Linked DNA regions of Oryzias latipes. The protein of the gene in region 1 interacts with the protein of each later gene in a biochemical or structural test. Links are inferred from orthologs where the notes say so. Each region holds a gene or a part of one and is shown in the gene's direction. Other genes may lie near its edges. The genes, in order: discs large homolog 1-like protein, pbk, vangl1 and slc16a3.

Evidence for each region.
Region 2: the proteins of discs large homolog 1-like protein (region 1) and pbk form a complex in vitro, tested with the Homo sapiens proteins (2 studies listed by BioGRID and IntAct, with this or other methods). The link is inferred for Oryzias latipes from reciprocal best matches to the Homo sapiens genes DLG1 and PBK.
Region 3: the proteins of discs large homolog 1-like protein (region 1) and vangl1 interact in a test that uses a peptide from one of them, tested with the Homo sapiens proteins (2 studies listed by IntAct, with this or other methods). The link is inferred for Oryzias latipes from reciprocal best matches to the Homo sapiens genes DLG1 and VANGL1.
Region 4: the proteins of discs large homolog 1-like protein (region 1) and slc16a3 interact in a test that uses a peptide from one of them, tested with the Homo sapiens proteins (2 studies listed by IntAct, with this or other methods). The link is inferred for Oryzias latipes from reciprocal best matches to the Homo sapiens genes DLG1 and SLC16A3.

The regions. Positions count from the first base shown.
Region 1 is NC_019875.2:12,824,966-12,832,549, forward strand, and holds part of discs large homolog 1-like protein, read left to right. Parts: intron 1-1,004; coding exon 1,005-1,137; intron 1,138-1,551; coding exon 1,552-1,708; intron 1,709-2,748; coding exon 2,749-2,851; intron 2,852-4,443; coding exon 4,444-4,558; intron 4,559-4,637; coding exon 4,638-4,814; intron 4,815-5,951; coding exon 5,952-6,018; intron 6,019-7,584. UniProt on the Homo sapiens protein: Essential multidomain scaffolding protein required for normal development. Recruits channels, receptors and signaling molecules to discrete plasma membrane domains in polarized cells.
Region 2 is NC_019882.2:247,091-255,241, forward strand, and holds pbk (lymphokine-activated killer T-cell-originated protein kinase), read left to right. Parts: upstream 1-3,642; 5' UTR 3,643-3,828; coding exon 3,829-3,968; intron 3,969-5,666; coding exon 5,667-5,806; intron 5,807-5,886; coding exon 5,887-6,056; intron 6,057-6,118; coding exon 6,119-6,248; intron 6,249-6,583; coding exon 6,584-6,766; intron 6,767-6,836; coding exon 6,837-7,027; 3' UTR 7,028-7,094; downstream 7,095-8,151. Other genes in the region: scara5 (scavenger receptor class A member 5), read left to right, coding at 91-279, 996-1,180; N-acetyltransferase ESCO2, read right to left, coding at 7,163-7,295, 7,367-7,548, 7,617-7,760, 7,825-7,914. UniProt on the Homo sapiens protein: Phosphorylates MAP kinase p38. Seems to be active only in mitosis. May also play a role in the activation of lymphoid cells.
Region 3 is NC_019860.2:16,765,508-16,773,598, reverse strand, and holds the start of vangl1 (vang-like protein 1), read left to right. Parts: upstream 1-4,001; 5' UTR 4,002-4,112; intron 4,113-4,239; 5' UTR 4,240-4,523; intron 4,524-8,091.
Region 4 is NC_019866.2:24,923,632-24,931,274, reverse strand, and holds the end of slc16a3 (monocarboxylate transporter 4), read left to right. Parts: intron 1-927; coding exon 928-1,071; intron 1,072-1,174; coding exon 1,175-1,782; intron 1,783-1,849; coding exon 1,850-2,030; intron 2,031-3,069; coding exon 3,070-3,413; 3' UTR 3,414-4,533; downstream 4,534-7,643. Other genes in the region: dus1l (tRNA-dihydrouridine(16/17) synthase [NAD(P)(+)]-like), read left to right, coding at 6,881-7,117, 7,191-7,299, 7,399-7,449. UniProt on the Homo sapiens protein: Proton-dependent transporter of monocarboxylates such as L-lactate and pyruvate. Plays a predominant role in L-lactate efflux from highly glycolytic cells.

The DNA.
Region 1 (7,584 bases):
ACGCTCCCAAAACATCCAGAGACTTGAGGTAGTAAGGGTGGACCTCATCTGTCTCCAGTACCTTGCAACCGATGTGCTTTTTGACACTCTCCATTTGACTACAGCTTGGGGGACGGATTGGCCCACTTCTGGTTCCCCAGATACTATTTTCTTATGAAATCATGTCAACAGAATTAAGGAGATTCTTCCACCTCTCAGCATTTCCCTGTTCAAGGTCAACAGCTCCTCACCCACACTGTAGACGGTAGTGGCAGAGAACTGCTTGCTTCTCCTGAGAGTCTAGCCCTCTCAAAAGGTTGGGTTTTAGAGTCCAAACTTTGAAGAGGCGCATGCCCAACTATCTTTACCCAGGACCCTCACCCTTCTGCAACCTAAGGGTCCCTCCCACTTAGGGAGGTAACAGGCCATGTCCCGATGATTAGTCCATTTTTGAGGATTGGGTTGTTGCGGCACCAGCCCCTTGTAGACCTTCCTTGTGAGCTCGGGGGAAGGCCAACCCTAGGCTCGGTCCCGAGATAGACCCTTGGTGACGTGAACCTTGTATTCAGTATTTTTACGAAAGGATTTTTTCCATACAGTAGTAAAAAAAGCTTTTTGTTTCTTCCTTTGGTTGCACTTCCCTTTATTTATGTTTATTACTTATTTGTTTGACCTGTTTTTACATTATTCATCTGTTTTTCATCTTTCCCCAGTTTTTTTTTTTCAATCAAATGCATATCCAAAAAGGTATACAAAATGTTGTTGTTTAATTGACTGAAATGAAAAGCAAGGTTTTGAATCTTGGAATTGTGATTCTATAAGACAAAAAGGTTTGTTTGGAGTTTAAACTGCAGAGGATTCCTTTGGTGTTTCAGCTGGAGCTCACCTGTCTGCTGTAAACCGATCAGACCGTCTCCAGTTTCCTAGGTTCACTTTACCCCCTATTCTGCAGCTCCCATCTCATCCAAATGGGTGTTTCTACTGGCGCACACGTTTTTGGTTCACGAATGCTCTGTCTCTTCCAGCTTACTCACAGCACATGGAGAATCATATCAGCCCCCCCAATTTTGTAAGTCACCAGCTTCAACCACGAGGATCCTCGGGATGCTACTCGCCCACACCAATGAGCCCGCTAGCAGACGACGACGGTGTCACTCGGTGAGTACGGCAGAACACGCGCATAAATATTCATTCAAAATGGTTGATTGATTGATTCACAGATCATTCCCAATGTTTAGCTGTTTGTCCTAATGTTACCACCCTACAATTAAAGCCTCATTCAACCACCTCATCACAATTTATGCAAGAGAAAAATATCATCTGACTGCTACAGCTACTTTTTTCTTAACTGGTCTGGGTTTCTCTGTGATAGAAACATGAGGTGACCTTCAAAGTAATCTCTGCCTAAACAGACTCGGCTTCAGCTATAAAGGATTAAGACGACTATAATGTAACTGCAAGTGTGGGCTTTGTAACCCTCTGGCCTACTGGAGAGGAAGATGAGGCTGCATTCTTGATTTTTGTTTATTTTATTCTGACCTCCACAAATTTATAGCTATGGTTGCCCCACAGGGAGCCGAGGAAGGTGGTTCTGCACCGAGGGGCGACCGGACTGGGATTCAACATTGTGGGTGGCGAGGACGGAGAGGGCATCTTTATTTCCTTCATCTTAGCTGGGGGGCCAGCTGACCTTTCTGGAGAGCTGCGCAAAGGAGACCGGCTGGTATCTGTAGGTGTTTACACACCGTTATGCACCTTCAGGAACTTAAAAGCTCAAAAAGTACACTATGCATGATATAAACCCTTTGAGGTGGGATGTTCAGGCTGTTGCCTCAAATCTGTATCTCTGCTGATGGTAAAAATGTGACTTTTTGATGACAAAAAGACCAAATGTCAGCGTTAGATAAATTAACTGGTGTGTCATTTAAACTACAAACTTTGTAGCGCTGAATGTGGGATAGCCTATTTCTTTATAGTTGTTTCTTGTGTCAAACAAATTCACATTAGCAGAAAATAAGCTTTCTTTTTGTCATCTTTTGCTATGTCAACTTCTCTTTAAAACAATTACTGCAGGCATTTGTGTGTAAAGTTGTGCTTGTTTGCCTTTCAAACGTGCAAAATATAGACACTAAACATCGCCCACAACTTTGCTTTATGATTGTGTGCAACATCGTTTTTCTTTTAGCGTCTTCTTCTCCCAATTCTTTGTTCATTTCGCCAAAACCACTCTGTTTATTCATCGATTGGTAACACTATTCTGCTTGTTGAAAGGCCAGTAATGTGACAGTAATGGTTTTCACCTATCAAACTAAGATTTTCCCTTCGACAATTTGTTGAAGAACTTTCTTAAAAGATAATTTTTCATGCAAGACAAAAAAACAAGAATTTTTTGTTCAAACAAGGTTTTTTTTTTTTACTTTGTTTCGATTCAGGTTTTGCTGTGTACTGTCACTTTTTGCTTGCTTGGGGGGCTTTATCTGGCAACTCTTCCAAGTGGTGTTTTGATCCGTTACATAGGCTCACTCAGTTGTAGAGAGAGCGGGGATCAGGTGGAGGATCATCTAGAGAGAGGAAAGAAAGAACAGGATTGAAGGTCAGCGGCAGCAAGACGAGTATCTGTAAGGTGGAACAGTGAGCTTATGGGGAGAGAACATGTTCACGAGTGACATTACAAATGTGTAACAGGAAGAACTTCATTTATCTGAGTTTTTGTTTGCACTCTGAACCAACTCATTTGATGAAACACCACTGTTTATTCTCCGTCTTTAGGTGAACGGGGTGGACCTCAGAGCCGCCACACACGAGCAGGCCGCAGCCACCCTGAAGAACGCTGGGCAGACTGTGACCATCATCACCCAGTACAGACCAGAAGGTGAGGCGGACAGCATCACATGACTCCAGGCTGTCTCCCTGAGAGCTCTGTGGTACCATTTGTGGAGGAGCTCAGGGATAATGTTACACTGATTAATGCTAACAGAGTTCGGTTGGTGGTCAGGTGTGTTTTCTTCTGCAAAGCCAGAAGTCTGCGGTAAAACCACATCTGCGACAAATAATTTTTCATTATTTTCAGTGTAATTTGACTCTTGAAGTCGTCACTCCATCACCAGTAGAGATTTCACTGAAACTAATAGACATAGTCCCAAAGTTTTGTTTGTAAAAGCCATTGGTCACTTCAGGGACCCATTAGAAATTAAACCGTCTTTTTTGTAGATCAGTGGTCCCCAACCTTTGTCAGGCCATAGACTGTTTTTTCTATTTATTTTTAGCTTCCAGTTTTCCTTAGCGGTCATCCTCTGTAAAATACCTGCAGATACTCTAGACTTTATTTATACACTTTATGTAGGAACTATTAAGATATGATATAGAATTTCCCTTAACCCATAACTTTTAAAGTGGACGCTAAAATAATCAGACGCCAATTTCTATGAAGATAGACTTGTTGTAAAAGTATTGTACATCCGCGTCTGAATGTGCGTCTGTTTTGTACTGTAGCTGTATTAAAAAATAAGGGTTTAGCCATAAAACATTTTGTCCGTGTGTGAAAGAACACATGCACATAGGAGCACAAGCATTAATCCACACCGACACACTCAAGTTAGAAGTACAGTTCTTTTGGTCGTCATGAAATCAGCCAATCAGCAACCTTTCACTGTCTCCCAATTGGGGCCCTGCTTGGACCATCCAATGTCAGTGCCAGGAAAAAAAAAGTTTCTTTATTCTACATGAAGAAAAGATGAAACGGCAGAAGATTTCATCAGAATTTTCTAAAACTAATAATGATCAACACTTAATTTTTCTTTTAGTTGCAATGTCGTAAAGAAATTCATCAATTACCAGATTTGCCTTTTCGTCTTTTCTCCTTAGTCTAGAATGAGGAATTATTTTTTTCCCCCCGGCATGAATATCGTGCGTCTCATCGGCTTCTCCAAGCAGTGGCTTTATCCTGGTTCTGGGCTCTGGGGTTTGGACCGCTGCTGTAGAGCTTTCCACTGTCAATCCCATGAGTCTGTGCCATTGTTGGAGTAGCTTATCATAGCGGGCCTGTCTTTTTTTCTTCAATAGTTTTTCTCTAGGTCTGTCTCATTCCTGCTCTCATATTTGCAGTTACTAACAAATGCTTTTGATCTAAACAGATAATAGTAATGTTAAATTTGTTGATCTTTATTATGTTGTTTTGTTGCGTTTACAAATATCTATTTAATAAGTTTATTAATAGTTTACTGAGTCTATTAAGGTTTTTTCTTTTTCTTCCATTTAAAACGTGTTTCTCTCCACTGTCTTATGTTTGCTCAGTTTAAGGTTAACACCACAACTTCATACCTAGCCTTATAGGACTGATCTGGACTTAACTGGATTGTATTATTGGATTTTAACAATTGTATTTGATGTTTTTTCTTCTGAAACTGGTGCTTCTTGGATAAAATGAATTGACGATGTTTGTGTTGAATCTCTGTGGTTGTTAAGAGTACAGTCGGTTTGAGGCGAAGATCCACGACCTGCGCGAGCAGATGATGAACAGCAGCATCAGTTCAGGCTCCGGATCCCTGCGAACCAGCCAGAAGAGGTCTCTCTACGTCAGGTTAGAGCGGCGCTCCCATATTGGCCAACAAAGGCTGGGTTGACCAAAAGACCAATAACGAGCTTCTCCATGTCTACAGAGCTCTGTTTGACTATGATAAGACCAAGGACTCGGGGCTGCCCAGTCAGGGTCTCAACTTTAAGTTTGGGGACATTCTCCATGTTGTAAATGCCTCTGACGATGAGTGGTGGCAGGCCAGGCATGTGGCGCCAAAGGGAGAGCTGGAGGAGGTGGGAGTCATCCCCAGCAAAAGACGGTAAGTGGAACTTTTAATGAGATCTGGAGACGGGTTGACAGGTGCACCAGCATGTCCCCTTTCAGGTTGGCTTTTAGATCCACTTTTAGGCTTGCCTTCATGCCTGCGTTCTGCTCTAGTTTTCGGTCAGCCTTTCAGACGCAGCTTTGATCCTGACTTCGTGTCTGCATTCAGATCTCTGCTCAGGTCTACCTGCAGCTCTGCTGTCAGGTCTTCTTTTATGTCTAGTTTCTGGTCTGCCTTTAGCTCCACTTTCAGATGAGATTTTTATGTTTTTGGTTGGTCTTCAGGTTCACCTTTAGGTCAACTTTCACTTCAGGTTGGTTAGGTTTTCATAGTCAACCTGGGTAGAAGGCGCATCATCTAAACCCCTTTGGTCAGATCTCATCTTGTTTTGTGATGCATTCACTGGAACCCAGAATATGTGCATCTAGACATACAGTGGTCCCTCGTTTATCGCAGGAGTTATAGTCTAAAAATATCCCACAATAGGGTGAAATCTGCAGCTTTGTTTGTTACAATTATTATAGATGTTTAAGGCTGTAAAACTCCTCTCTACACACTTTATACACTTTTCTCAGATGCACATGAACATTTTCTCTCTTTAAACTTTCAAAGATAAACTTGGTAGATGAACAAGTCCAGTGCTATAGAATGGAACCAAAGATCATCTTTGCAAGCCGAACACATTCTGTCCAGGAGACATGGCAGGCAGGACAAAGAGTAACAATGGTGTACAGCCAATCAGGACGCAGAGCACAATGCGCTGTAAAAAAAAAAAAGAGCGCAAAATTGAACTAAAAAAATCATCAGATCTTTGAAAGGTGAATGATAACAAGGGACCAGTGCACATAAAAAAACACGTATTAAAGGGTAACATGTTGTCTTTGCCTTCTGCTCCTTAAAAGCAGCTGCTATTAACAGAAGTTCTTCATTTAAAATCCAGCTAAAAAAGTGTTATGGTTGGTGTTTAAGTTCTGACTTTCCTTCACACTCTGAGGAGGAAGAAGAGCAGTCCTTCCTTCCCGACTGCTTTACAGCTTCAAACCTTGGAACTAAGGAAGAGACGCTCCATGATTAAGGTGTCACATGGATGTGGTATCCATCCCTCTCATTCTGACCTCCTGTCCTCCACAGGGTAGAGAAGAAGGAGCGCGCCAGGTTAAAGACCGTCAAGTTTAACGCCAAGTCCCGAGAGCGAGGGGTGAGTGAGGCCCCAAAACCCTGTGGAACCCTGGTCCTGCCGAACCCCCCATCAAATAAGAGCTCTGCTCTGACCTCCACTGTCTTTACCTCTTCATCCCTTGTAGTAAAGGTGGACTAGGGTTCCCCAGGGCCGCGGGCTCCTGAGACTGTTTTCATGTTTGTCAGCATGACCGTGACTTTAACGCGTTTTCACCACAAGTACGCCGCTGCCAGCTGATCTCTGCCTACTAATGAGCGTCTGGAATAACAGACCAGCTCCTTAAACGCATGTTGTTTCAGTGTCAGCCCCCCCCCTCTCTTTCTTTGCTGCTTTAACACGAGGCACCGCCCCACCAACCCACACATGCATGGCACCCCCCCCCCCCCCCCCCCCCCCCCCGCGCCTCAAACAAACTGAAATGTCTGCTGCTCCTCTTCCTCCTCATCTCTCCATGGATTTTAAGATGATGAGACCTGAGTTCAGCATGTGAGCATTCAGCAGTAATAAAGAGCAGCTTTCTTTATTTGTGACATCAGCAATACCCCCACCCCCCCAGTGAACAAAAAAAGATTTTTAAGAGAAACCTCTGAGCTCCATTTCCAGCTCCTGCAGGACCAATCCAGTCTCTTTAAACTGAGCTGGACCTCACCCACGTTTCCATGTACCTGCACCTTACACAGCCCAGGACATGAACGTACACAAGCACAGACCGGCTTTTCCTCTGCTGTTCTGGGAAATAAAGCAAAGCTGAAGATGAGAGCCCACTGCTAATGCAGGTGTTAGACGTGCGCACTGCTTTTAGGGATGTAGATGAAATCCTTCTTAACGAATAAGATTTTTAAATGTCTTGAAGCACTTTTCATTGAGTAAGTGAGACCCCGCTGGTGTTTTTGACATGTCCTTGTGGCATTTTGCTGATGATGGAGGGCATGTATATTAAGAAAATTAGGCTTAAAATTGCATTCTGAGTATTTCTTTATTCAAATCGTTGTAAAACAGAACTAGACGAAAAAAAAAGGTGTTTGAAAAAGATCCTTTTGTGACATAGAAAATCCGAGCAAGCTCCCTGCTCCAAGCTCTCAGCAACAGGGAGGGGAATGGGGGCGGGGTTGCTCAGCGCCAGCAGTCCAACCCACAACTCACCATGTCCTTGGCAAAGCTCGGTGAGGGGGCACCAAGGGGTCTAAGACAGCTAGAAGCTGATTGAAGAGAATGGGGTTAATCAGAGGAAGAGGACAGTAATGTTCTGTTTTCCCTCACCTGACCTCATAGGTTTTTACAGAAGGACAGCTTACCTCAGTCTGATGACACCCCCCCCCTACCACCACCACCACCACCTTTACTCTCAGCATGTTAGTGCGGAGCAGCTGTGGTATTTGTCAAGTGTCTGCAGCCATTTGGAGACTCTGATCTTCTATAACAGCTTCATGGCCGCAGTAATGAGCTAATTCTCCAGAATAACTCAACATGAAACCACAGAGAAAACGTCTGTTTGACTCTACGCCCAACCCAGAACCTGTGCAACACCCTCCACTGCAGGAAATCAACTCTCCCACAGAGTAAATATTGATTTCAAACCGGAGA
Region 2 (8,151 bases), on another chromosome or scaffold:
GATTGTTTAGTGCTTTGAGACGACTGGATGTGATGACATTGTTTGTGTGCACATACGCATTCTATAGTATTTCTCTTCATGTTTGCACAGCAGAGGAGACCCTGGTCCGGCTGGTGAATGGGTCCGGCCCTCACGAAGGCCGTGTGGAGGTTTTCCATGAGCGCCGCTGGGGGACGGTGTGTGACGATGCCTGGGACAAGAAGGATGGAGATGTGGTCTGCAGAATGCTGGGCTACAGAGAAGCGGTGGGAGTCCATGTGACGGGACGCTTCGGACGAGGTACTAACATGAGAACAGGCCCAGACGGAACAAAACTATTCATCCAAATAGTTCTGTTTCCTTTTCCTCTGTCCTGTTACTCTGGTCTGGTGTTCTCAGGCAGATGGAGGTTTAGATCATGTAAATGATGCAGCGTAACCTATCCTCCTTTAGGACTTCTAGACAAGCAGTGTTTCTTCTCCTTTGTCTTGGGATGCAAGACATTCTTTTTATTCTTTTTGCATCATAGTCTTCTTTTCTTCTTTACATGAAGGTCTGAAACAGAAGCAGACTTCCAGTTCTTCAGGTGAATTTCAGGTGCTGCAGCATCTCTGTCAGAAGAACCGTCACACTCAGGGTCTAAACTTGGTTGATGAAATAGATCGGAATCGTTCCAAACTTAATAAATCGATAATTTGCCCATAAAAGTAGAGTTTGATCTTTTATGCCTTTCCTTTCCTTTCTAACACAAAACTGCAGGAAAGTGCAAGTCTGCTGGCATGATGCTAACATATAATGGTATATTTGAATAAACCCCTTTTGTAATTCAGGCTACACTTTGTTTACATTGATTATATTTGTAACAGTTTCTTGTTGGACCATCCCCCCCAGGGATGGGGAAGGGGACAAAAGTTCAGAGGTCCCAACTTCCTTGTGTTTGTGTTTGTGTGTGCATTGTTCTGTTTTTGTGCTGCAGAACCCTATCTTGACCCGCAGCTGTCTGTACCCGTTTGCAGGATCCGGTCTGATCTGGATGGACGATGTGGCTTGCACAGGGGGTGAAGACACCATCCATCAGTGCAAGTTTCCCGGATGGGGCAAAACCAACTGTGGCCACGTAGAGGACGCTGGTGTGACCTGCGCTGTCGGACCCCCGCCGGACACCGAAGCTTTAATGTTTCCTGAGATGGAGATGACATAAGACGGTTGGAATCTTCTGGGAAGGAAGTTCCACTTGTTCTCCATGACATACTGGTTCTCTCTTTTCTCAACACCTCCAAGTGCCTTAAGAGCAAACTGGTTTTCTCACTTTCGACTGAATGCACCACCTCAGCTTCAGAAAAAGTACAAACAACGAGATACACAACAGCAGCAGGAACGACAACAGCAGAGACGGCAATAGAAGGAACTGGACAAACAACAGAAGAACTACGTTGCCATGGAAACAACATAAAAAACCACAGAACCAAATCAATGAAGAACAGGAAAAACTCCTGCAGTGGCAGAAAAAACAGCAGGACCCGTTTTAAGAAGCTGAAATCCTGACAGAGTTTTGACTGAAATGACAAATCCAGCTTACAATTTGATGAAGCTGAATAGAAGCCAGACTGGGTTGGTTGTCATGGTTACTCTGTGAATATTACCGGATTAGGAACAGATTTATATGAGTTAACTAAGCTAAGTTATATCTTTGCTATGAATGTCTTCTAACAACAATGTGTGCTATTTCTGTGTTTCTGGAAATGACTAAGAAAGATGGTTTTAAGTCAAACTAATCTATTTGAGAAAACAAAGTACAGGAAATGGTTTTGAATTGATTAACTCTCACGTTTTAGCTTTTATAAAGTCATAGTCTACATTAGTAAACTTACATGATGTTGATGATGCAGACTAACTATAATAAAAAATACCTAAAGAAAGAGTCAGTAGCAGACTTCAGTGACGCTGAAAGAGTTTGGGTCGCTGCAGCAAACACTGACATCTAGTGGACAGGAGACATGATTTCAACTTGAGAAAGAACCAGATTATTGTCACACCAGAGAATCAAATGGTCTGTTGGGATTGGGAACACTGCAACCTTCTCTTTGTTATATCTGAATTAAAATGCTGTATGAAAGTCACTGAAACGGTTTTTTCTTCCTTTGGTGGTCTGGATTTTAGGTGAATTTGGAAATCCATTTTTATGGATGATGCATCTGCAACTTGAGATCATGTCATTCCTGCGCTCAGACCCACTAGACAGTGCTCTGAACCTTTTTCCTTCAATGATTTGTGATCTTCACTGGTGTCCATGGATTACAGGAAATCTTTCCACCTTTATCCACCTTTGTCATGGTAGGGAGAACACGTCAATGGAAGGGAGGGGTCATCTAAGACAGCACAAGGGATAAATGACATCTTTCTTGAGGAAGACAATGATTACCATAGACCAGGGGTCGGGAACCTATGGCTCGCGATCCATATATGACTCTTTTGATGGTCACATGTGGCTCGCAGACAAATCTTTAATTATAGTTTTTTTTTTTTTCATTAGACCAGTCCTTCTCGGGCGCGATGCGATGCCAGAGGCGCGCAGTAGTAGCGGTGCTTGGAGAGAAAAATTCAGCGCCAGCGCTATCAGTTACTATTATCTATTATTTCAATTCAATTCACAGGTTTCCGGGTGCACCCGGAAACCTGTGAATTGCCGTGCCCAAAACTGCGCGCTCCCGTCTCTGAGAAAGAGCGCGCAGTTGCGGGGACGGGATGTGTGAGGAAGAAAGCAGAGGGTGGGGGGGTTGTGAGGGCAGCAGGTGAATCGCGCTGGGATTGTAAAAACGTAAAACCCGCTGCCCGTCACTCACTGCAGTGTGTGAGTGTGTGTTTGTCTCCCCGTCTGCATGTGATCAGTCTGTCTCACATCTACAGAACATTCAGACCTACGATCACGTTTAAAGTCTCAACGCCTGCATGAAGCAGAAACTCACCACGTATCAACCAGACTAGACCATCAGCAAAACTACCAAGAGAAATACTCATCGTTTATTAGCAACAGCATAACGATGTTATTAAAAAGAATCCACAGACTTATTGTACTTTAAAAATGTTGAAATTAAATCAAATGCACACATTCACTTGTATATTTAGTTTTAAACATATTGTCGCGGACTGAGTTTAACTTGGCTGTTGGGCCGCGTTAAACGTTCTGGAGTTCATTAAACGCATCAAGCAGAGATCTGATTGGCTCTCAGTTCTGTCGCTCAGCCTGTTGTCAGGTAGTTTGGACCAATGGGGTTCAGCTATGGGCCGAATAAGGGAAATGGGAGGACTGGAGCGGGAGCAGGGGAATATAAAGTTGGGAGAAGCGCTCTCGTGTCGGCGGGAGAGATTCAGGAGTTGCTGAATTAATTGTTCGGCGTTTGCTGCGGTCTGCAGTAACCAGAATAAAGAACCTTAAAAGAGGTTAAGTCTCCGTGCCTCAGTGTGGGAAAAGGACACTACATTATTGTATTGCTCTTTCAAAATTACATTTAAAAATATGTGGCGTTTATGGCTCTCTCTCGACAAAAAAGGTTCCCGACCCCTGCCATAGATTAAGGGGATTCATAGATTAAATGACAATACGACCCCCACCACTAGGTGGCGGTAATACGCATCGGCAACAAGACTCAACCGGAAGAAGAGCCCGGACCAAACCGGAAAAGAAAGTTTTGGCGGGTGGTTTGTTTACTCCGCGGAACCAGTAAGAACATTTGAAAACGGAGATTTTCTTTAGTAGAAACGTTTCACTGACATCCTCTTTACCAGAAAACCGACCCCGGTTTCCGGTAGAGGCTGAGAGTCCGGTCTGGTAGAACGTTTACCGACAGAATGGCGTCCAATGGCGGATTTAAAACTCCAAAAACCGTCCGGACCAGGAGTTCGGGGGGAACCCCCGTCACCATCCCGGCATCGCCCTTCATGAAGAAGTTGGGCTGCGGTACCGGAGTCAGCGTCTACCTGATGAACAGGTGTGTGTTCCGGTACCTGTCCGGGGTGTACCCCGCCTTCGTCCAACGGTAGCCGGGACCGGGACATAGTGGGTCAGGAAGATAGAAACATGTTCTTCCTTAGACCTGCTTCAGAGGATGAACGTCATTACATGTAAATAGAATGTAACATTACATGTTAAAATATCTGAAGGAAACATCTAAAAGTTATGTTTAAGTCAAATAATCAGTCAGTAAATCTTTTAAGTGGAGTTTAGTGGATCAGGGAGAAAACAAGGATTCATTATTTTCATCAATCAACAAAAAGTATGGAAGCGATTCTGTAGCATAATTAAAAATAAAAACCAAAACCACAAATTTTCTAAATGAAGCTGCATTTTTTAACTAAAAAATAAAAAAAATGAAAAATCAATTCTTCTTGAGGTTTTGGCTTGTATTTTGAATTATGCTACAGAATCTCTATAAAAATGTGTGAACAAAAGAGAAACAGAATTCAAATCCAAATTAGTCCTCATCAGTTCATGTAGGACCTGACAGGAACTCTGCGGGTCCAAACATCCTGCTTCTCTGGACACAGGCTTTGTCTCATCCTTCTGCCGTCATGTGATCCCAGACCCAGAAGACAAACCGTATTTTCCTGTGGATCCAGAAGACAAACCGTCTTCTTCTGTGGACCCAGAAGAAGAAACCGTCTTCTCCTGTGGACCCAGAAGTAGAAACCGTCTTCTCCTGTGGACCCAGAAGACAAACCGTCTTCTTCTGTGGACCCTGAAGACAAACCGTCTTCTTCTGTGGACCCAGAAGAAGAAACCGTCTTCTCCTGTGGACCCAGAAGACAAACCGTCTTCTCCTGTGGACCCAGAAGACAAACCGTCTTCTCCTGTGGATCCAGAAGACAAACCGTCTTCTTCTGTGGACCCAGAAGAAGAAACAGTCTTCTCCTGTGGACCCAGAAGTAGAAACCGTCTTCTCCTGTGGACCCAGAAGACAAACCGTCTTCTTCTGTGGACCCTGAAGACAAACCGTCTTCTTCTGTGGACCCAGAAGAAGAAACCGTCTTCTTCTGTGGACCCAGAAGAAGAAACAGTCTTCTCCTGTGGACCCAGAAGACAAACCGTCTTCTTCTGCAGTTATTTCACCGTTGGCCTCGTCGGTCCTGATCATCCTCTGACGGCACCGCAGTTCCAGTTTTCCTTCAGACTTGACTTGCCTCCACGTTGTTTTTTTTGGCTGACAGTCCTTCAGGACAGACTTTTCCAGACGGGTGAACTTTAGTCTCACTGTCAGATCTGAACTGATGGTTCTGCTGGATGTCTTTTGGTTTCACTGATGTCTGCTTCTTCAACCACTGCGTCCACTTTTCTCATCACTTCTTTGTGCTTCAGAACGTCTGGAAGCGTCTGCTGTCAGATGTTTGTCGGGGACAGACGGATGCTCTAGAACCTCCTGAAGTCTTGACAGCGGTTTCCCTTCAGTGTGGCGTTGATGATAATCTGTTGGTTGATCAAGAGCTTGATGCGTCATGATGGGTGGGGCAGAGGCTTTCGGTCCAGCCAAGAACGGCTTGTCCGGCTCTCAAACCCACGCTTTCACTCAGGCACAGGAAAAGGTCACAGCTTCTGATGTTTTTCTGATGGATGGATGGCTTTTAGGGAATTCTAGGGGTTATGGGTGTGGCTGTGGATCAGTAAAGACTCTGAACGTCCCGTCCTCCCCCAGAGAGGAGCAGATGAACGCGTCTCCGTGGGCAGTGAAGAAGATCAACAGCAAATGTGAATCCAAACAGGCTGCCGTTTACCAGAACCGTCTGAAGGAAGAGGCCCGCCTCCTGCGAGGAATCGACCATCCCAACATCATCGGTAAGGAGGCGATAGACGGTCAAACGTGGGGGGGGGGGTCTGACGACAGGATGCTCCTGCACGGTCTGTTCCCTCTGCAGGTTTTCGCGCCGTGGCCACCGCCAAAGACGGCTCCGAGTGTTTGGTGATGGAGTACGGCGGGGAGCGGTCACTCAACGACCTCATCGAGCAGAGGAGGGAGCAGGGTCTCAAGGCCTTCCCCGCCGCCAACATCGAGAAGGTGGCCCTGCATGTGGCGCGCGGCCTGCAGGTGAGACCCCGCCTCCTTTTTTCTGCGTGCTCCTGCAGAACTTCACGATTTCCCTGTTTCAGTACCTCCACAACGAGAAGAAGCTGCTGCACGGCGACATGAAGTCCTGCAACGTGGTCATTAAAGGAGACTTTGAGAGCGTGAAGATCTGCGATGTGGGCGTGTCTCTGCAATTAGACGAGAACATGACAGGTGAGCTGTCCAGTCTGAGCATGTTCAGTAGGACTCAAGTTGATCTTCGGCAGCTAGCTAGTCCGTGTGGAAGCAGGTTATGTAAACTCACCACTGTGAACAAATACTTGTTTTATGGCCTCCACGTTTCTGGAGTGAATGGGCGGAGCTTCATACGAAATGACGGAGCACCTTTGTTGAAACAGTAAAAACATTTCCATCTAAAACTATTGAAGTGACCTGCAGCCTCATGCGGTCAGGCTGACATTGACTCCACCCCCTCCAATCATGTAACCACAAGAGAAAGCCTTTATTTTGAAAACCGCTGCTGTCCAGTAACAACTTCCTGTCTTCAGTCTCTGACCCAGAAGCAGAATACATCGGTACCGAGCCCTGGAAGCCCAAGGAGGCTCTGGAGGGGGGCGTGATCACGGACCGGGCGGACATCTTTGCCTACGGCCTGACGCTGTGGGAGATGATAACTCTGTCCATGCCTCACCTGGAGATGCTGGAGGAGGAAGAGGATGGTGAGGATGAAGGTGTGCGGTTTTACGCAGCCATGTAGCCGTCTTAGTTTGTGGGTCACCGACACTTCAGTTTGTTCCTCAGACTCCACGGAGAGGAGCTTCGACGAAGACGCCTACTACGAGTGTCTGGGGACGCGGCCGCCGTTGGAGGCGGAGTCTCTGGGAAGCTGCTACCAGAGGGTGGTGGAGCTCTTCTACGTCTGCACAGAAGAAGACTCCAGGAAGAGACCGTCTGCATCCCAGATCGTCCAGGCTTTGGACGGCCGGCACTGAGCATGCTCAGTCAGTGATGGACAGCGATGGTAGAATCAGAAAGGTTTATTAAAGTTCTGTACAACAACACGGGTCTCCACGTTTCTCAGAACCAACAGAAACGGGATTAAAACTCTGCAACTTCAACACAAACATTCAGGCAACAAAGTTGTACACCAGGAATGTGGGGGTGCGGCAGTACTGAGTGGCGAACAGCTTCCCATCAGGGGTGGGGTCAGAGAACGCCAGCTCCTCTGTGGTCAGGTGACTTCCAAAAACGAAGGAGCTCCTGTGAGAGAGGAGGAGCGTCAGGATTCAGGGAGTCGCCGTGTCGGATAAAAAGGCGGCGTGGGCCCCCACCTGACTGTGTCCAGCATGCGGGTGGCGATGCCCTGTCGCCGGGCCGGCCCAAAGACCCAGATGCGACTGATGCCGCACAAAGCCGGTTCTGGAACGGTGGAGCAGCACCAGGCCCGGTGGCGCTCCAGGATGTCGTCCCTCAAAGCCTCAGCTGCAGCCGCCTGCTGCACCACCCTGTAGGCCTGTGGGGGGGGGCACGCTGGGTTATGAGAGGTTTGGAAACAAAAACTGGCCTCATCGACACCCCCACCTGGCGAATGGGTTCAGCCACCACACAGCCCACCACCATCCTGTCCGTGTTGATGAACAGGTAGGTTTTGGACCGGGACGGCCGACTCAGCGCCACCTGCTGGAAACCCAGTTCGTCGTCCGCCACGCGCCGTACGTCCTCCGCCTGCGTACGGACACACCTGTCAGCCGGGTCCACGAGGACTGAGGACCAGCCGGTCCGGTTTTACCTTCTTATGGGCGTGTTTGGGGTCTTCGGGCAGAATCAGGATAATTTTTCCATCCCAGAAGTCGGCCACCACCCGCTCCTTCTTCCAGCCCTGCAACCAGAACACTGATATGACCCCCCCACCTCTGAGAGCAGACAGCGTGACATGGCACAACCCACCGGGTGGGGGTGCAGGGGGTACAGGACCTTCATGACTTCCATTACTGCACCAAGCAACGGAATAACCCCCCCCCTGAAGGAGAACCCCTCCCCACCATGACAGAACAAGCTGAACCCTGCTCCTGAGCTTCTAACTACCGTTCCAGCAGGTCTACCTTCCTCCTCTAAC
Region 3 (8,091 bases), on another chromosome or scaffold:
CACAGTTTTAGTCTTTTTTTATTTGTATTTTCTTTTCTTTTAAAAGATCAAAAAACAATTTTAAGAAGTCTATCACAACCAAAGACGAATATGCTCAGTTTCTTTTCATTAAAAGGGCAGAAAACACTGTTAGTCAAGAGTTTTTACACGACCAAATACAAAATAAAAGTCATAAAAAGCAAGTTTGGGCTTCACAAATGCTGTGCATCTTTTCATTAAAAGTTATGATGCTCTAAAAACCCACTTTGATTATCTTTTGAGCTCATTTAAAATCGTTCTCAGTGATCCTTTCATTATGATTATTAAATGTGTCGTTTTCTAGTACATAGTTTCTGCAGAGCGGCGGTAGTTCACTAGAAATTTGCCCTCTGAGTTGTGGGTTGGGCCTCCCTGAGCTTCCTGTTGCTGAGAGCTCTCTGTTTACATGCTGTCCCGCTAGCTTACAGCCCCTCATCACCCCCACCTAACATTCCTGGTGCAGCACAATTGTAGCTATCCAGCCGTACAGTTTTCATCCAAATGCCAGCTCAGACGAGGAAAACAAAGATGTTCATGGATCTAGTCGTCTACAAATGAAAGCATCAGAATGGAGCAGAGCTGGGAGCTCGTGGGACACCGATTATACTTTCTACGTCACAAATACGATCTTTTTCAAACTGCATTTTTTCGTCTGCTACCGATTCACAAAAAAAATACTCAGACATAAAATGTTTAGCTTCAATTTCTTCCTGTGTCCTCCATCAACAATAATACCTTTTTTTTCTTTTTAAACTTGTCTGACGCTTTTTCAATTATTTTTCCATCAAAATATTTCACCTTTAATAAAAAAGATTTAGCTTTTTCTAAAAGACAAAATAAAAACTTCATTCTGGTAATGATTTTTCTTACACAAAAACATCCGACTTTTAAACAGTAGAACTTTTGTAGGTATTTTTTTCTTTTCTTCCAAACATCTCCATGAGAAGTTTGGCCTCTCTGGCTTGTGGTCTTCCTCCTCCTCTTCCTCTGCTCCCGCAAACTGCATCTCCTCCCACTTCATCTTCATTTTTTTACGCACTTTCATTTTTTTCTCTCACCATATTTACCGACACCCCCCAACCACCACCACCACCAACACCCTCGCCGCCGCCTCTAAACTCATAAAGTCCGTGTCTTTGGGGAGGGATCCATCCATCTTCAGGACACCAAATCGAATTGACCCCCCCACCCCCCACCCCCACCGCCCCGCTTCCTCTGTGCGGGACCATCTGGGTGTGCGCAGTCAGAGGAGGCGCGTGGATGAAAATGGGGCTCATTTAGATGTCACCAGGTTTAGATTTTTATCCAAAATACAACTTTAATTGATCCTAATCTGACTTAACACCATCTTTTAAAACTTTAGCAGAAAAATGAAGTGATATTTAAGACAAAACCCCTCAATGAAGTAGTTTAAAATCTTTTGTTTTTGGTAAAAGTGGCCTCTGTTTGCCAAAGCTCCTCGCAAGCACTGATGGCTTTCCGCCACACGGTGGCACTATAACCTCAAACTACACTCCTTGTTTGTTGGGATAAACATGTATTCAAAACGCAGCAAAAAAAAACATTTTTTTGGGAAAGTTTTATCCCAACAAAACAAAACAACAACTTTGTTGACGCTAAGCTGGACTTGAGTACGCACCTCCCACCCCGCAGATCGGTGTTTGTTTGGCTCTTTACAGAGTGAGAGGGGTCGTGCCCCAGTCATGACCCCCTCAGTGTTCTGGAGGGGGTGAATTATTGCTCACGGTGCGTGAAGTGTGTTACTAAAGATGCATTTCCAAGGCGAACGAAATATTGATTCATACACAGTTGTGTAATTTGCTGGGGGGAAGAGGGGGGTCTGTTGCTTTGTTACAGAGATGATGATGAGCTGCTTTCGTTTTGTGGCACAAAAGGATGAAGAATGGCAAGGCAGCGCAAACCGGTTGGTGTCAAAGCATAAGGGGAAAAAAAAGAAAAGCCATCACATCCATGTGCAGCCAAAGGTCACGTGTTAAAAAAAATCATCAGCGGCACAAAGAAACTTTTTTTAAATCTAGCATTAAAGTGTCTGAGGACTAAAATCCCAAATTTTTCAAATCGCTCCATAAAAGTCTTGATCTAAAAGAAAAACAGTTTTTTTTTCTTTTCTTAAAAATAATAAAAATGTAATCTTTTGCAGCTATTATACTAAATTCCAACCAAAATATCATTCCCATTGTAATTCATGGTGGTGGCAGTATCATGATATGGGAATTGGCATAAAAGTTTCCTTTTTGTTTCAAAATAAGATGGCACGGATAGTTATTTTTATTTTACCTTAGCTGCAGCAAAATGCTAAATACTTTTAACCCCTAACCTTACAAACAAACCAATTAAAATGAAAACCAGGTTGTTTATTTTTGATGAGTTTTTACTGTCAGAATTGTCTGATTTGTTTGCTAACTTGCAAAATTAGACTTAAACTATGGTGTGAACCAAACAAGTACAATTGCTACGCCTGAAAACCAGCTTCTACTGTTCACATGTAAGTGAACCCTACTGCGGGTCACTAAAATGTGAAAGCAAGCGCACTACCTGATGTAACACCAGCAGAGTAAAACAAAAAAAGACTTTTTATTATTAATCTATGTGGTAAAATGACGAAAAAATATATTGGTCAGAGAGAAATGATTTTCCTTGTTGATTGCCTCAAACGTGTCTAGCAAAACCGTAAAAAATTTGTTCGTCAGAAGTACGACAGTGGAAGGTATAAAAAGCTGTTCTCTTTCCAATTTAGACTGTGTAGTGTGCATGTGGTACAGTGGACCCTCGCTACGTCGCAGTTCATCTCACAGATTTTTTTCAGTGCACTTTTGTTTGTTTTTTTTGCTTTTCCACTGTCCACTGTGTTCAGCGTCGTGATTGGCTGTAGATTATTGTCAATCTCTATGCCGTTTGTCTTGTGCAGAATGCTTTCAGTTTGCCAATGTTGTCTAGATCTTTGATCGCAAGCAGATCCTTTGTTTCATACTGTAATACTTGATTTATTTTTGTAAAATAGGTCGAAACTTTGAAAGAATAGACAAAAGAAACAAATGACAAAGTGTGTGATGAGGAGATTTAGAGTTTTCAAACATCTATAATCCTATTTCGCGGATTTTACTTATCGCCAGATATTTTTGAGAACACAACTCCAGTGATAAATGAGGGAACAGTAGGGGTCTGGCGATACGATGCGTACCGCGATATGACCGTCACGAAATAATATGTATCGCAATACATCTCAAGTGTCACTTGTCATCTGGAGCCCACTACAAAGCATCACAATCCGCGTTTTCATATGGTACTGGCCGCAACGTGGCACCGATGTTTCGTTTGGTTCCCCGTCCCAAGCAAAACCTAAATAGTACTTGTTTCATAGTAACAAAAACCGCGAGGCTGACTGAACATTTAGCATTTAACACAAGCTGATTTTCGGGAGATCTCGTTTTGCTGCTCACAGAGGCTCAGTGTGCGGCGCTGCCAACTAGTGGTCAGCGGTTCAAGTGGAAAACGAGAGTCAGACGCTGGTAAAATATATATTGATATAAGTTTATAAATAAGTATCGCGGTATATCACGGAATCGCTTAGGGAACACTGTATCTGCACTCTGCCCTCCGATTGTTATGGACAGGTAGAAGTTGGACTTTTATCACGGATGGGTACAAAATATGGGGTGAAGGTTACAAACAGAATGTGGTTTAATTACAAAGCAAACAAAAACACAGTCAGATGTAAAGTCAATCCACAACCATAAACCTGGCTGTTGGGTTTGGGTTTGGTGTTGCTTTTCACACCAACTTCCGACCTTTTTAGAGAAGAGCTGTCTTTGAGCAAACAATGGATTTTCAATTGTGGTTGCCTTCAGTATCAAAGGAGGAGGAGTGTTTGTTTCCATTCTCCTCTCAGGAGCTGTCTCAAGGCCTGGTTGGCCTTATTGTGTGTCTTTCAGTGACTGCGTCTGCAATCGCACCACCCGTTTGTTTAGTTCCAGCCAGCGAGTAGCAACTGTTTACCTTGTTCGGCCTCGTGGACCGTAACAAAAACACTACCTTGAAGCAAGAAAAAAAAAGAGTCACACTGAAATAACAGGGTAAGATGCACAAACATGTGTACATTGGGTTCAAACAGGGAGTCGCAGTTCTGGATAAAATCTAATTGTTTTTATGTTGTGCATAAATACTATTTTATATATGTTGTTTATAACCTTTTGTGTGCAGAAATTCCTGTAAAAGCTACAGTTACCTGTAAATTCCTGAGATGAAATATCTCCTGCAGCATGCTCACTTTTATCTGAGCTCACGACAGCCCCCTAGCGGATTGTTACGGCACTGCATCCGGGAAGCTCAGCCCCCCCCCCCGTAGAAATTCCTCACTGCCAGGGTGATTCCTGCGGTTTCCAAGGGCTACTTCCTACTGTACCTAATCTGGAGCTGTGGAGGAACTACTTTACAACCTGTGGATGAATTATCAACCAGAGGGATGATATCTCCCCCGATAAAAGGTGAGTTATGATTTAATTACTGCCCCCTTTATCATGTTTATATACTGCAGCGTGAGCGTGGACTTGCCGTCTTGACGGCTTTCACGTCCCGCTTCAATTTCTAAATTGCTCAGAAATGCGTTTCGAAATGGATATGTCCCCCCCCCCCCTCCTGTCTTCTTGATGTTTTGGCGACATGCCGGATGCGTGTATTTGCTGGAAAACATCCGGGAACACGCCCTGGCCGTCTACCTGTGTGAACTTCGTTTGAATCCCCCCAAAGTCACTGCGGTGTGATCAACGGTCAGGCACGAGAAAGTTAACGCGCTCGTGTGCCGCGGCGTCGACTTGCTACGCTCGCCAGTGAGGCCATGTATGCCGAATAAACGCCCCCCAATGGACCCAGTTTGTGTAAAGACACCGGGTTACAGGGGGAGAAGTTGGCCGTGCTTGGCACGGGTGGGCTCGCTCCGCTTTGCTGGAGTACCGCAGCTCAGCTGTAAACTGTAACCTGCGGCGGCACACTTCACGCGGATTGATACACCGTATCTGGGGAAAGTGTTCCCAAGCACACCAAACACGTGTTTTTAAATTCATGTTTGGCCGTTTTTTAATAATATATATATTTTTTTATTTAACCAAAGAATTGATTGCTTTGGTGGGGGTTGTCAGGTAAGGAGGAGGAGGGTGGGTGCCGTTGAGGCCAAAAGGGAAACCGGGGAGTTTCCTGCCTTGGAGGTCCGCCTGCTGGGTCACAGGTGGGGACGCATCAACCTGCTCCACTTGTGGCTCTAAAAGTTCTGTTTTAGCGGCTCATTTCGAGATTTATTTATTGACTTGAACATTATTTCAAATGCTGAAAAGTTGTGTAAGAAAATAAATAAAATAAAAATCGTAAAGATAGGATTTATTATATGTTGAATTGTCAGTTAACTAGTTCCTCTCAGATCATGAAAATTATGTTCTTGTCTAGCCTTTTTCTGATAATGGAGGACATATTTAAATGAAGTTAGCTCAAAATCGCATATCTGAGTGTTTCCTTAGTAAATCGTTGTGAACCAGGAGCAGGTGAAAAAATGCAGTTTGAAAAAACTTGTAGGTGTGACGTAGAAGCTACTATGGCAAGCCACAAGCTCCTTGCTCTGCTCCATTCTGATGCATTCACTTTTAGACGACAAGATCCGTGTACGTTTTTGTTTCCTCGTCTAATCTGTTGTCTGGCTCAAAACTGTACTTCTTGATAGCTCCAATATTCCCCACTGTTTTTGTTGCACTGATAGGTTGGGGGATGTGAGGGGCTGTGAGCTAGCAGTGTAAACTGATGGATGATGGGATGATGATGATGATGAGGCGGGGTCACTCCTTGCTAACAGTCCCGTGAATTTCAGAGGCGAATTTCTTATGAACTCCTGCAGAAACTGTCCTTAGTAAAACAACAGATTTTTTGCATAAAACGACCTAATCATAATTAAGAGATGACTCTTAAAAAGAGATCAAAACGTGATCAGAGTGGGGCTTTAAAGAGAGGTTCTCTGAGGTCAATAGAGTTAAATTCAGGAAGCCGAAATACAAACTGCAATTATCAATTTCTCGTCCACAATGAGTTGTTGAACGGTCGTCCCTTCTGTGAATAAAAGGGGACGCCATCCATACGTCATAACCAAATCTAAATCCCTGATCGGTCAAAGTTTGATCTGGTTTAACTTTCAACAGGCCTTCAATGGCCGCACGTTTTGTACACCCCAAAGACTTTTCATTGACAGTAGTCGCTTGAATGCACTTTGCCGTAGCTTCAGAAGCATAAAAGCATTTTTCGTAGCAGAAATATGCATAAAAACATGTTTGCAATACTAACCCCAATGTCAGTGTTATTAAAAGCAACGTTTCAGACATGTGCTGTTGTTGTGAAAACCCAGGCCTTCATAAATTTCTTAATTTCCTCATCATAAATGATGTACGGTCATCAGGTGAGACTTTTACGCTTGAAAGCGGGCGACCATAGGAGAACGTTTTGTTTCATGTCAACACAGCTTCTGTCTCAGTTTCCGCTCCTGTAAAAGTATGTCAGGTTTGTATGAGATCAGATGGCTGACAACACCTTCAGATTTGGGGTTTTTGCTCTGCAGTGGTGCAGCTGTACAAACTATTTCATGCAGTCAGCCATGGTTTTTAATTCAGGAAGCGGCAGAAGCATTTCTTTAAAGTTTAACCTGAAGATGTTTTTCTCTCAGTCTTAGATAGAAAATGAACAAATATACAAGTATGATTTTTTTTCCTGTTACTTATTAATAATTCTATTTCGAACTGTTGATCAGTTTATCCAGGGTTGGTTTTTGTGTTAAAAAAAATCTGCAGGGAATAAACAAAACTGTTGTGTTTATCCCCTCAGTTTCTGTTTCCAAATGAACACAAGTTGAAACCCCCCAAAAAGGGCTAACAATTTATAGTTATGCAAATACAGCACAGCAAATGTTTAGCCTTTTGAAAAGCAACACATCATTTTATTATTGAGTGCTTTGACTAATTTGGCTTATTTCAAACAATTTCATCAATTAAAAACAATTTACATTTTAAACAGGAAGTGCCCACTGGTTCCAAGAGGACAAAATCCCAAAGACTTCTAGTAAAAAATCATCAAAAGTCATTCTGTTTATCAGAGTAAAGATTCTTGCTCCGCTTCTTTTTTTAACATGTTCTTCATAATCATTTTTTTCTCCATTATATATATAATTTTTATTGCAAGTTATTAAATTTATAAACTGACCCATCAGATGCCTCAATTATAGTCTCTCGTCGAATGTTCAAAACGTTCGATTGACAGATTTCGTGTTGCTGATTGGCTGATTTGTGACAGTATTTGCCGTAGCAACATTGACTCGGACCAATCACTGTCGACTATCTCCAACATGGCGATGTCAGTATCGTGGAAAAATGGCGACTGAATTGAGTTTATGTTGTTGGAGCCGGAAGTAATGTGAGACCTGGACAGGTCGCGTGTGATGTCACCCATTAAAAAATGCGTGACATCACATGCGACCTGTCCAGGTCTCTCCTGATTGACGAAAGTGGTTGCCAAAGAAATGAGGACTTGAACCAACTCGGACCAATCATTACTTACTGACTATTTCTGATTCCAGCATGGTGGCATTTGTTTTTACAAAAAAGGCATTTGACTTCATTTTTTTAGTGCCAGAAGCATGATTGGAGACATCACATTCACTCAGTTCAGATCTCTTATACAGTCAATGATCAGATCTCTTGGGCAAACTGGTTTGCGTTAATATAAAAGTTATGGTTTCCCTGTAAACCACCAATGATTTGGTTTGACAAAAGTGTGAGGAAAAACATCTATTTCTTTCTGATTAATCCTCCTTTCATCAACACCAAATTGGTTGGTGTAACTGTGTGATGTCTTCATGCAAAATGATCTGTTAAGTTCAAAAGCAAAGGTTTTTTTTTGTTAAACGTTTATTGCTTTTTTCTACAACACTAGTTTCAGATCAGACCTTCAAATCAAGATTTCTTAACTGCAGCTGGTCTATTTGACTGATCAGGAAGTCTAAGCTTATTATAACTGCTTATTTAGTCA
Region 4 (7,643 bases), on another chromosome or scaffold:
TCATGGTCACTGCTGTCGTAGACTGGTGTCCGTGGTCCAAAGAGCCCAGAGACACAAAATGAGTTTAACTGAAAAACAAAGAATTTTATTTTTGACACTTAAACACAGTTTGCATAATAATGTAGAACTCACCGTAGAGTTAACTTTAATTTTTCCACTAAAGTACTTTAAAATACCACCAAACAAGGGAGTCAGCATCAAACACACAGCGTTCCATGACTGTCCCCTTTTCTGCTAAATCAAATGAAAAATATTCTCCAAACAGACAGTGGCCGGCCACCCGCCCTCCTAGGACATGCAGGAGGGTTCGAACGTCTCCTGGGAACATGCAGGGAGAGTAGCGTCCCAGTGGTTCCCATGCAAATGACAGAAGGGAAATCGTACCAGCAACCACATTCCTATCTAACAGTAAGAGGAATGTCCCAGCAACCCGCCTGGGAAGCAAAATGTTGACAAGAGAGATATTTGAGCAACAAAATACCAAACACTCATAATACCCATGGACAGCTGATGATGATGATGGGTCTCCAATCTTTATCACTAACAGGAGACACAGAAACACAACAGTGTATGGATGTTTTCAGGAACATTATCCAATACATTTAAAAACAATCGTTCCTGCATATTTGAGAACACAACCACAAAGAGGCACAATCCAGTTGTTTGGGTGCTGGTTCCAAGCCGGAGTAAATGCAAAGGGTTGTGTCAGGAACCGACCCCAACTCAACGCCAAAGACAAACCCGTTGTGTGAATTACAAACAGAACTTTCATGCTGGATCAGTCGTGGCTCGCATTAACAGGGACTCACCTACTGGGTGACAGTAGAAACCGGACTACTGCTGGTGGAAGAAGGAGAAGGAAGGAGAGGAGAGGAAATGCAGGAACTTTGAATGTTTTTACCATGCATGACCGCTTGCTCTCTGCAGGTCCTTTGTGCAGCATATTGGTGAACCGCTTCGGCTGTCGGCCTGTCATGATGGTGGGCGGCCTCTTTGCGTCTTTGGGAATGATCCTGAGCTCCTTCGCCACCAACATCATCCACATCTACCTCACAACCGGAGTCATTACAGGTTTGTCTGCTCTGTGATTCCAGGGACCACACAGTTTACATGTTTGATGTTGCTGGAAATGCTTTTGTGCCACGTGGACAACCGGCTGTGTTTCCTCCTGCAGGTCTGGGGTTGGCCCTGAACTTTCAGCCGTCTCTCATCATGCTGAACCGGTACTTCAGTGAGAAGCGGCCGTTGGCCAACGGCCTTTCAGCGGCTGGGAGCCCCGTGGCGCTGTGCTGCCTCTCTCCGCTGGGCCAGGTCCTGCAGTACCACTACGGGTGGAGGGGGGGCTTCCTCATCTTGGGTGGCATCCTGCTAAACTGCTGTGTTTGTGGAGCCCTCATGAAGCCTTTGGTTGACCCCAAGAAGGTCAAGAAACAGGACCACAACAAAGAGCAGAGCCCAGAGGAGGAGAAGATGAAAGCCAAAGCCAAACTTCTGGACTTCTCTGTGTTCAAAGACTGCGGCTTTGTCATCTACACCGTAGCAGCCTCCATCATGGTGCTCGGCCTCTTCGTGCCCCCGGTGTTTGTTGTTAGCTATGCCAAGGAGCTGGGGAACGAAGACACCAAGTCGGCGCTGCTGCTCACCATCCTGGGCTTCGTTGACATGTTTGCGCGGCCCACGTGTGGCGTGATCGCTGGGCTGAAATGGGTTCGGCCGCGCTGCGTCTACCTCTTCAGCTTTGCCATGCTCTTCAATGGAATCACCGACCTCATTGGCTCACAGGTGAGTGCGTGTTCGTCCAGAGCTGGTCTTCAGGTGCTTTGGGCTCTAACACCTCACCTCTTTCCAGTCCAAAGACTACCCGTCCCTGGTGGTCTTCTGCATCTTCTTCGGTATCTCCTATGGAATGGTGGGGGCGCTGCAGTTTGAGGTTCTGATGACCATTGTGGGGACGGAGAAATTCTCCAGCGCCATCGGCCTGGTCCTGTTAATGGAAGCTATTGCTGTGCTGGTGGGGCCGCCGAGTGCAGGTGGGTGCAAGAATGCGAGCTGGCGTTAACGACGGGTGCCGCTCAAGCTGCCGTTCCTTCACCTGAAGTTAGGACACTGGTACATGTCATTTAAAGTTGTGTTTTTAACATTTCCTTCTTATGAGGATGGAGAATATTTATAATGATAATCAAGATGAAATTTGCCTTTCTGAGTATTTTTTATTCAGATTGCTGTGAATCAGGAGCAGACAAAATAAAAAGAGCTTATTTGTGATGGAGAAAATACGCTGGGCGGGGCCACAGTCTCCAAGCTCCGCCCCTTTCAGATCCTCCACCTGCAGACCAATGTATCCATGAACGTCTCTGTTTTTCTGGTCTGAGCTGGAATCTGGATCAGAACTGGACGGATGGATGGATCTGATACTGATCACCATTTTTGATGCACCGCTAATGTTAGGTTGGAGAAGGGCTGTAAGCTAGCAGGAGAGAGGGTAAACAGGTGGATGATGGGAAATAAGACTTGAGGTCAGTGGATCCGTGATCTCCTAGCCACCTCAGAGAATAACTTCTGATGAACTCCTGCCGCTCTGCAGAAACTATGTCCTCAGAAACTACGATCGTAGCAGAAACTACGATCTAGATTTTGGCTAAAAACAGCCTCATCATCATAAAAATACCACCGGGAAGCAGATCAGAAGGTGATCGCAGTGGGACTGTAATACTTTTATGATATGACAGAATACAACTAAGACAGGCAGAAATCAATAATAAGATCAATGCAAAGGTGTTCATGTCAGATTGTAATCAAGTTTTAAAAAGGCTTCCCATAGAGCCGCATGGTCACGTCTGCATTCTCCAGTGAAAACACTGTTGGTTTGGGTTTCCACCTCCGTACTTCAGGTTGGAGCTGCGCTGAAACATCAGCGTGACCTGTGGCGGTGGGGCGGGGGGGCTGGGGCGCTTAACCAACATTTTCAGGTCATCAGATTCTATTTATGAGAGTCTGATGACCGTCCGGCTCCAGCGCAGCCTTCATCTCGGTCGCTGACGGGTTTCCTGCTTCTCTTTGCTTTCGCAGGTCGGCTGCTCGACGCCACACACAACTACATGACCATCTTCCTGCTGGCAGGATGTGAGGTCGTGCTCTCAGCGGTGGTTTTGGCCACCTGTAACTTCCTGTTCATCAAGATAGCGCCGGAAGTCAAGCCGGAGGGCAACGCAGTGACAGACGACTCCGAAGCAAACGCCTGCAGCAGGAGTGGGGAGGGGGATGAAGGCGAGGAGGAGGAGGAGTTAGGGGCTGAAAGGGGGGAGGAGGTCAGGCCAAAGAGCGTGATGGTGAACACACAGGAAGTGGAGAGGTTCCTCAAAGAACCTCAGCCGAACGGCAGCATGGCGGCCAGTCCTGAAACGTGCCTGTGAGGCGGAATAGGGAGGGGCTTAACCGCCGCCATCCCAGCTGAAATGCTTTTCGTATAATTCCATGTTTATTCCAGGTGTTGTTCTGTGTTTTGGTGGGGAGGGATTGAAGCCACTGCCTTTGCAACATCCCCAAGCCAATGCCGGTCAGACCTTCGTAACAGAAGTTTGTGCCTGAAGTCGCTGCAGAACCGCCGTGTGGCGCCCGCCACCAGCCAAGACCTCCGAGGGACCAGCGGGACCACATCCTGTTCCTACTGTTAGTTCATCACACCGGGACGCCGTTTGCACTGATTCAATAGCTTGGAGGAGTCGGCGGGGGGTTTTAGCAATAGCTTTCAGTTTTATTTAACCCTTTACTGATGGAGACCAAAACTCTGGAGGGGGCCGACAATGTCGGGACGTCCCAAACAGAGTCAATAAGACCTGAAGACCGCAGCCGCATCTTCTCCTGGACCCACCTTTTGTTTTGAAATTCCTCCGCCTTGTTGTTGATGTCCGGAGGCTGTTCCCATGGCAACAGAGGCAGGAACTCCCCAAGCTGCAAAACACAACTTTGTGCGACCCCCCCCCCGGCCCTCTCAGATGAAGACCAAAAGCAGCCCAACTCACCCGTTTCACAAACCCCCATGAGCCCTTTCAGCCTCCCGTCACCTTTTCTGGGGATGGAAGCGGATCAGCCGGAGGTTTGGGGGCGGGTGGGACGCATCCACAGAGCACAAAGGCTCATGGGAAACTCATTTCGGTCCTGAACGAACCCACACGCTGCTTTCGCTGTTCGACGTTGCAAAGAGCTTTGATGGAGCCAGAAGTGTGTTTCTGTTGTGTTTGTTGTGTGGCGTCTTGCTCACATTTTTGTGTCACAGCTGTCTGTGTGTGTGTGTGGGGGGGGGGTCAGTGCTGGCCCCCCTGCTGTGGGAGTCCTGAACGGGGGGGAGGCGACGTTTGTCTCGTGCTTCTTCACTCCGGTGTCGTCGTTTGTCCCCAAGAAATGCTGCTTTCCCCTCAGTGATGAAGAGTGAGGAGGAGGAGGGTGGTGAATGTCGCTGCCTCAGTGTCCAGTGTTGTCTGTACGTCTGTTTTACTGAAGCTGTATTAAAAAGGATAATATTTAGTCTCTTAAGTTTCTGTGGATTCATGAGAATTCCTTTCTGAAGTTCACAGACAGATTCAAGTCAAGGAACTTTTTTTAAACCGTGTTTCCATCCATCTAGGAGGCCTGCAGATAAAACCGGAATCATTTATTGAGTTATGTTCAACACCAGACGAAGAAAACAAACGTTTAAGATGAAGAAACGGCAGAAAAAACACAAAGTTGAACATAAAAACAGCAATAAAACGATAAAATCCTCTCAGCTCGACGTTCACCAAAACCATCCTGACTGAACTGCAAAAAAAACCAAATCATTGAATCCCAGACAGGAACGCCAGTCAGAATCTGAAGATGTCCCAACGACAAAGAGGGTGGGGGTCAAAGGAGGAAGCCCAGACATAAAACACCCCAGCAAACCCGTATGGGGTCAGAACCGACCGCTCTGGACTCCTGCTGGGGAGGAACAGCAAGGCGCTCAGATTGAACCTGATTGAGGCTTCACAGCACCTGACCAGAACCAGAACCAGAACCGCTCAGTGAAAGCATGAGAATCCAGTCCTAACGTAAGTGCCGCCTGTTCTTGGAGAGCGTCCTGTTCTGTTGCTATAACATCTAAAAATAATAATTAAAAACACAGATAAATGTTTGGAAAACTTATGAGGAACAAACTTGCAACACTTGAGCATCTCTGAGACTTTAGAAATCCTGACTGTTTGAAAACTGAGACGATGAATCCGTCAAACGTCTGAAACCATCCAGCAGATGCTGGTCTTTCCCGTGTCATTCACGGTCCCTGAACTCATCAGGGACTTAGCTTTGAAAATAAGATTGTGAAACCCCAAATCAGTTTAGTGGAGCTGTCAGACATTTTTCACATTGTTTTGACCTCGTCTCTACTTTGTTTGTGGATTTTTATTTTTTTCTGTTTTGTCTCTACATGTTTAATCTTTAGTTATAAAGCAACATACAGTAAGAAAATGACTAAATGGACCACAGTACTCGGAATTGAGTTTTTCAGACAGTTTTGTGGAATAAATGTGTAATATATTTAAAAAATATGTCTTTAAAAAACGAAGAAAAGGATTGATATCACATATTTAAAAAAAAGGACTGAAAAACTATTTAACCCTTGTGCTATCCTGTGGGGTCTAGATGACCCCACCCAATGTTAAAGTGCCTAGGATAGCACAAAGGATATAGAAATTGTAAAGTATAATTTTCTTCTGAAAATGTCCCAGACTACTGAGTGTCAAAGGGTTATTTATTAGTGTTCTGAAATATCTTATTCAAATTTGATTTAATTTGATTTTTTTTGTTCATTTCAAACTAATTCAGCAACAAAAACAAATAAAAAAGACGATTAAAAAGTGCCTAAATTTATCAAATCTGTTCAAGATTTTTATTTATTGATTAATTAGAACGTAATTAATTGGATGATGCAGTCTTCTTGTCATTGTAATCGTTTCTAATCGCGGAAATGTCTGCATTAACACTTACAGGACTTACCACTAGAGGGCGCCACTGCGGCGTTAAAGATGTTATCTGCATTCATTACCACTAGAAGAAGAGCCGGGAGCGGAGTTTCTGGCCGGCGGGATTTGAGTGTGACACCATCGTGACGGTGCGGCGTGGACCGTGGAGTGTCCGCAGCGGAACAGGTAAGCGCTCGTGCGGGACTCCCGGACAGAGCAGGTTTCGTCTGGTACCGTCTGACTCGATGGTTCGTGTTCCGTCTCCATGGTGACGGTTTACCTGCGCGCAGGTGCGGACTCTCTCTGCATTCAGGGACGGGCGCGTGTTTACTGTGGCAGGTGACGTCACTGTGGGTTCCTACCGTAGAACTTCAGATGACACGGACGTGCTGCAGGTGTCCCTCGGGTGTTGAGGTCATGGCGCATGAGCAGAGCGTCCCCACCACGCGGGAGTTCTGGACCCCTGTGGGAGGACGAGCTCCTGCTGAAAGTGGGGGTGGGCTTGAGTCCAGAATGTGGCTGGTCCTCTGTTCCGTCAGAGGTCCGGTTCTCCTGTGTGTTCTGGTTCTTCAGGCTTTTGTTGTGGTTCTGCCTCAGAGGTTCCTGACGGTCTTTGCCGTTTTTCTGTTCTGTTAGTGAGAAACTGAAAGATGAAGCAGAGAGAGAACAGCTTTAATTCACACGCTGGTCTACGGAGTCTAACGGTTATTCAGTCTTCAAAGTTAGAACTACAGGAAGTCTGCCGGTTCCTCCAGACTCTTGTGCACACACATGCACTCCCGTGCACACACATGCACTCCCGTGCACACACATGCACTCCCGTGCACACACAGGCACCTCCTCCTGTCTCAGGAGTTGACCCCGGTACATCTTCCCCCTCCTCCAGCCGGCTGACGTCCGGTGCCATGGCGAAGCTGCAGGGCTTCGACTTCTGGAGGACGACGCTGAAGGGAGCTCGTTTCGTGGTGGCGCCCATGGTGGACCAGAGCGAGCTGGCGTGGCGCCTGCTCAGCCGCAGACACGGCGCTCAGCTGTGTTACACCCCCATGTTTCACGCTCAGGTGTTTGTCCGAGACGCCAACTACAGGAGGGAGAACCTGTACAGCGAGGTCTGCGAGGAGGACCGGCCTCTGATCACGCAGGTGGGGGGGCGCCCAGGTGCATGCTGGGACGCCGTCTGCCGCGGCCAGCATGCGTGACGCCTTGTCTTTGCAGTTCTGCGCCAACGATCCAGAGGTGTTTGTTCAGGCGGCTCTGCTGGCCCAGGATTACTGCGACGCCGTGGACCTGAACCTGGGCTGTCCGCAGATGATCGCCAAGAGAGGTGCACGCCCATTTACCCCCCCCCCCCCCCCATCCTGACCCATCACTTCCCCTCAGAAAGCATGTATCACATCAGAGCTGCTGCACGTCTGTGTTCCAGGACACTACGGGGTTTTCCTGCAGGATGAGTGGGACCTGCTGGAGAGGATGAGTAAGTCTGACCCACAACACCTGTACAGGGAGGGGAGGGGGGGCATTTTCTTTCTTTTAAAGATCAAAACCAGCCACCAAACCAGCTGATGTCACAACATTTATAGTTTGAAGTCATCACCTTCCCTGAAGCATGCAGGAGGAACCAGCCTGTCTGCCTCTGCTTAATAAAGAATCTGCTGTTGCCGTGGAAAC